Regions from separate parts of the Mus musculus genome. Here region 2 is reported to be linked to region 1. The links are microRNA targets in miRTarBase. Many come from high-throughput screens and were not tested one by one. Region 1 holds a microRNA gene; the other region holds the end of a gene's coding sequence.
The links. The annotated mature microRNA mmu-miR-5101 reads UUUGUUUGUUUUGCUGAUGCAG and lies in region 1 at 1,690-1,711, opposite strand. An mRNA with a match to its seed (bases 2 to 7 or 8) in the 3' UTR can be bound and repressed. Matches are read on the target gene's strand: a 7mer-m8 pairs with bases 2 to 8, a 7mer-A1 pairs with bases 2 to 7 and ends in A, and an 8mer does both.

Region 2: miRTarBase lists Prkd3 as a target of mmu-miR-5101. Seed matches in the 3' UTR shown: 7mer-A1 at 1,335-1,341, 7mer-A1 at 1,330-1,336 and 7mer-A1 at 1,324-1,330.

Annotation. Positions count from the first base shown.
Region 1 is chr12:75,907,713-75,910,864 of GRCm38, reverse strand. Mir5101 (microRNA 5101) reads right to left here and starts at 1,762; the gene lies at 1,680-1,762. Syne2 (spectrin repeat containing, nuclear envelope 2) reads right to left here. Exons shown (of 116, transcript NM_001005510.2): 15 at 1,919-1,997; 16 at 1,502-1,689.
Region 2 is chr17:78,949,211-78,952,210 of GRCm38, forward strand. It overlaps Prkd3 (protein kinase D3), which reads right to left. Exons shown (of 19, transcript NM_001171004.1): 19 at 195-2,820. The coding sequence ends at 2,647. Among named protein-coding and RNA genes, the nearest start is that of Ndufaf7, 14 kb to the left of the region's middle.

The DNA.
Region 1 (3,152 bases):
TCTGGGGTTGCTGCCTAGCAGGTGCTCGACACTGTCCTCCTGGCCCAGGACTCTTCAGAAATGCCTGGTCAACTTTTCTAAGTATCTGATAAACTAACAAAGGTTCTTAGATTCATCTGATTAATAGAGGCCATACCACTCTGGTAATGGTTTCAATAGAGGCAATATTGCCTTGATACTTGATATTTAATATCAAGGCCAAGAATTTCCTAAGTCATCTAGGGCAAATATGTAATACTGGCACAGTGTCTATGTGATAGATGCTACCAAGTCTCCTGTAAAATTCAAAGTCTCTTTTAAGATCTCTGGAAGCCCAGAGTATCTCAGCAGAGTCACATTCAAGACGGCAACTTTCCCCAGGTTTATGTACATTTTAATATCAGACCCTGAAAGACAGAAGAACTATTGAAAACCAATGGTATGAGCTTATAGGACCAACCCAGGTGACAGGGAGACGAGGGAACTTTCTAAGTCTAAGGTGCTCTCTGTGCACTCCTATACTCCCTGCATTTCTTCCATACCAAGAGCCTACTGTCCACAAAGTAATTCTGCTCCATTCAGAGTGAAAGGCTGTCTTGGTCCACTTTCAACTACAAAAGCGAGTGACAGAAACACATGCTATTTCCTAGCTGGCATACAAAAATAATAGTTGCACTGACATTCCTTCCACACATCTGATATTAAAATATACATAACTCAGAAAATGCCATCTTGAACATACAATCCCGAACCTCTGCCATGATGCCAGAGATCTTGTTAGAGCTTTTTAACTCTGGCGTGGTCTCAGCAGCATTTATCTCCTAGAACCCATGCTGCTACTAAGTTGTGGAACTAGAAACTAGATGACTTAAATTGGGACGTGTTAAATAATTCTTGGCCTAGAGACTAAGGAAAACCATCATGAAGGTGGTATTAGCCTCTATTGATCAAATGAATCTGGGACCCTCTGTAGGAGGGAAATTCAGAAAAGATGTAGGGGAAAAAGGTTTTAACTAAATGGAAAATTGTAATTCTTAAAAACAGTGATTTAGGTAGGCATGGTAGGACATGCCTGTAATCCTATCAGAAAGGAAGTCCCATGAAAACAGGAGAGTCTTGACTCTGAAGCCAGCCTAGATCATATAGCCAAGAACCTGTCTCCAGGTTCTTGATAGAGTGATCCAAAAAAAAAAAAAAGCTGTATTATTATGTAAACGTGTGTGTGTGTGTGTGTGTGTGTGTGTGTGTACAATTCAAAGGAAATACTCTCTGACAATTACATTAGGAAAAAACTAAGTTCTTCCCAAATTCTTGAAGAATTTTCTAGAAGATATGTTTACTCCTTTGTTGACACTCAACTTTTGGACTCAAAATGGGCTTCCAAACAAAAAGAAATAGAAAAGTTCATTCTAGCTGGACATGGTAATGCATGCCTTTAATCCCTAACTTGAATGGTGTATGTATGTAGTCAGTCTCCAAAAATAAAATGTAAAACTGGGATAGAACCATTGACTTCAAATACCTCTTTAATTTGTTCCTTCTTTGTCAAGTCAAAAGAAGCCTTTAGTAGGGCGAGATCTTCCTCGAAAGTTGCCCAAGACATCAGTGCTCTTTGCAGTGTGGCCTTCGTGTTATGGATGTATTGTCTGCACGAGTGAACATTCTTTTCCAGCATCATATACTCCTCTCTAATACTCTCACATTCTCTGGCTGCATCAGCAAAACAAACAAAAACAACAAGTCTTACAAAACGGTTTTTGTTTGTAACTGATACTAAGAAAATTATTTGCATTAACCAACAAGCATGTTGCCTAACAATATTAAAAGCAAAAGAAAGGAAAGCAGGGATGAAAACAGTTAATGTCCAAACCATCAAAGTAAAACAATACTCATCTTGAAATGATAGCTGACCCATTAAAAAGCAACTAGGATACTTTACCCGAGTTCTTATACATTTCTTCACATTTTTGAAAAGAAGCATCAAGTTGAATTAGGAACTTTTTTTCTCCAGTAAATTTCTGTGAAGGAGAGGCAAAAAAATGTTGACAGATTTTACTTTTGAAAATGTGCCAAGAAATCCAGATGTCAGTATGTGATGTCAGTAAAGGGCAAGGTTGCCAGCAATGTTTGAGTATTCAATACCACCACACTGCAGCAGCAGAAATGGAAGGAATGGTTCAGGAAGGGTGGCTAGGACTTAGGAGATGCAAGAGCACAATGACACAGGGCTATCACAGCAGATTCACCTTAACATAGCCATGTGACTTTACACTGCGTCCAGCTGATGGGAAAAAGCAAGTTTATCAGTCATAGCAGATCCAAGCCTTCCAGCTCGTCCGTCTTAGTAACATTGTGTAACTGTGTCAATAGCTTAGGCTTCCCAGGCCTTATTCACACTAATTAGTAAGTCTTCATTAGCTACATTAGGTTACTTTTTCAGAAGCTATCCCCACCTGCACAAAGAAGGCTGTGAAACTATCATTAACTAATTCAGCTGTGGAAAATCCTGGGGCTAACTCAGAGCCGACTCTAAACCGCCTGTTTATTATATTAGCGGTTCTCAACCTGTGGGTTGCATAAGACCATCAGAGAACAGATATTTACATTACAATTCATAACAGTAGCAAAATAACAGTTATGAAGTAGCAACAAATAGTTTTATGATTGGGGGTCACCAAACGTAAGGAACTGTATTAAAGTGTTACACCATTAGGAACGTTAAGAACCACTGATTATATTCTTATTTTGTGCTAGCTAACTACTATGATTACTGAACCAGTGAAATGTAAATCCAAAGCTGGGCATGATGGCACACTCCTGTAATCTAACACTTACAGGAGAATCGGGAGTTCAAGACCAACCTCATTACATATGACCCTATCTCAAAGTACAAATGAACAAACAAAAGCCCAGAAAAAAAAAACAAAACAAAACTTCAGAGAAGACAAAAAGTTATATGTAGTACTGTTCTCCATGTTTTATATATAAATAAAACCTAGCCCAGTTTAGAATGATGCCTCCAATTTGGAAGAGCATAATATTTAAATGATCAATTATAAACAGATATGTATGTCTTCATCATCCTCTTCCATTTCCTTGAAACTTATAATTTTGAGTTTTTCAAGTCTCCCCACCCTCCCTTCCCATAAAGAAGGCGCCCCATGGGGTTTCCA
Region 2 (3,000 bases), not on the chromosome of region 1:
TGCAGTATACACCTGAAATGACTTTAAAGGGTTGTCTTTCACAGAGGATATATAAATATATATGTGCTCATGTAGCATTGGCTATATTTACAAAAAAACTCCTGTTACTCAGGCCCGGGGAAAATATTATAACCAAATACAACTCTCTTGAGATCCTTATACTAGAGATGGTCTAAGGTTTTCACATAGGAAAGTATGGTGATAGAGAAATACATTTTATTATCAAGTTTTGAGAATATTTACAAAAAGTGGGATGTAACAAAAAATATAAAATGTACTAAACAGTGTCATTATACACTACTTTGAAAATTGTCACATGTTTCTAAGAAACAATTACTTTCATATATGCAAACACAGCTTGGCTTTAAGACAATGACAAAAAGTTATGCAGGTTAAACAGTGGAGTGGTTACTCAACTCCGCACCGTGACAGCGCCTTTACAGTCTCTCTTTAAACAGCACAGGGCTTTGACAAAAACAGAGTGCAATTAATGTCATGGCTTGTAAAGTCTGATTACAGAAGTACAGCAAACCAGCAGTCATTTCAGTTAGTTCTCACCTCCCATGGTAAAACCACCGTGGGCTGCCTAGTGACACACACGAGTTCCACCTTGTACATACTGGTCAAGCAGACTTAGCAGAAATGGAAAAATCCATTCTTAGAAGTTTCTTAAAATTACTCTTCACAACTACTGTATGAAAACAATTACAGAGACAGTTTGGAAAGTCTTCTGGAAATTCTTACAGATGTACAGTACATTGTCAATGGCTGGGACGGGTAAAGGGATTGGGGATATAGGCCTGGGTTTAAATCCATATTTAAACTCAATGCACTTTGACAACTAACCCTGTGCCTCAACTTTAAGTGTGCTTAGTCATGTGACTATTGTGAGGACAGTTCAAAGCATAAACATTTACAACCGGGCACCCCTGCTGTTTCTGTCACCTCAAGAACATTTTTAATTTTAGACAGATCACTGCAGCTGCATTCTCATCTGGGATGGCACTTAGTTTTGGTCTGCTCACACACACAGTTTTTCCTTTGCTATCTCAGAGCCCGTGGTAAGCGACAACCCTGGCATTCCAGATTGTCACAAGTGGTCACATAGCCCAATCTTCACAGCCACATGGAGGAAGGCAGAAGGAAGAATTTATGGTGTCTACTCTACAGACTGAGAAACTAAGTCAAACAAATGCTCAGACAATGTTATCTGCTCAGCCCCACAGATCCACAGAGTAAAGACACTTAGGCTTAAACCCAGGCTTTCTCATTCCAAATTCTTGCTCTCAGCACAGAAAAGGAAAAACAACAAGAAAAACCTGTTTTGTTTTTGTTTTGTTTTTTTTTTTTTGTGACTAGTGAGGAATGAAGAAACAAACAGCTACTATATTTCTTGTGAGAGGATGGTCCTGGATCTTTTTCTCTTTGGGTAAAGCACAGGTGGGAATATCACTAATGTGGAAATCTGAAGGACTCCAAAGTTTCTTGAATTTGGAGGATTTCGGATTTGTAGGTCAGGGATGCTCAACTAGTAGAGTGTGCAAACATTTCAGTATCTGGCAGTGAAACCTTCCTGGTGTAGAGCAGCTCAGATAGGGATACTGACCTTGTATTAATAACTACTACAAAACAGCTGGCTGTTGGAGCTGAAGTGTAAGACGTTCTTACTCCTTCTCCATCCGCTCTACTGGTAATTAGGTCCCACCTCAATAAACTAAGTTTTCATGTTTGACTTCAGTCACTCCTCCAAACTGCTCAAACGACAATGCTAATTTAAAAACACTAGGTATTGGAAACCCCATCCAAAGGCCAAGGGAAGAGGAAACAGATAACAGTGACATCTACTGACCTGTGTTAGCTTCCCTCTCTAGTATGTGATTTTGTCTATACATTATTCAACTCCAGGTGAGGATAAATTAGTTAAATGCAGCGTTGTGCCCACCGACTGTGGCATACTGTAACATGATGGTGCCAATTGAGAACATACGTGTTCAGAGGCAGAGCTGAGTGATGACCAGCTATTTCTATTCATTTGTAACACCAATTGTTCGATTATCCTAGTGACTGTTATAACATGGAAAATGTGACAACTCTTCTGTCATACAGGCCATATGGAAAGACGCATCCACCGGAAGGCCAGCAGTACAATGGTCTGCTTATCGGGTCCAGGAAGGAGGAAGCAATGCCTCCGACAGTGGACAAACACTAAAGGTCCTTACAGCAAGCTGTATGCTGTTAGCCTCATGGTTACTGCTTAACTGCAAACCTGTTGAGTAATCAACCTTATAAGCAATAACTAGACAGTCATAGGCCTTTAAAACAAATGATGTAATAACAGAAAAGGAGAGGTAAAAGAGATAAATTAAGTGCTAACTCACATTGTGCTAATGTGAAGGATTAGGAAAAATTACAGAACCAGTTATTGCTTATGCTATAAAAATTTATAGAAGTTCCATTTTGACTTTATTACTCAGTTTCCCTTCATGTACCTACTCGTTATGAGCTACAGAACTGATGCCACAAGTCCTTCTACTTCCTCACGGTGCTGCCGCCTTGCAATGGTAGCCTGCAGAGGCCACCAGCCATGCAGCAAAGTATCCGCTCTTGAAGTGAAATCCTTCCTTATTGAGGTCGGCGCACTGACAACTAAGGATCCTCCTCCATGTCGTCTGGGTTGGGGGCCATAATGAAATGCTTTGGGTATTCCAGATTGTGCGTGTATGCGTGTATTTCCCAGCGAGCATCATCACTTTCGTGTGTAATGTAACGTTCTCCAATGCGAGTTTCAAATTCTCTGAGGTCAAGCCAAGTCTGATAATCCTAGGAAAAGAAAATGATTGTGAACCATAAAATAGACAGTATGCCGACAGCCCCTTCTTGTTTATAACCTTAGTCACACAATTGGCCACTCCTCTTCCTAAGTTCTAACTGTGGTATTCTGAATGGGCAACGTTGAAGGTGAATCTTAGAAATCGGAGTCCATTACAGGCTAATGTGCTG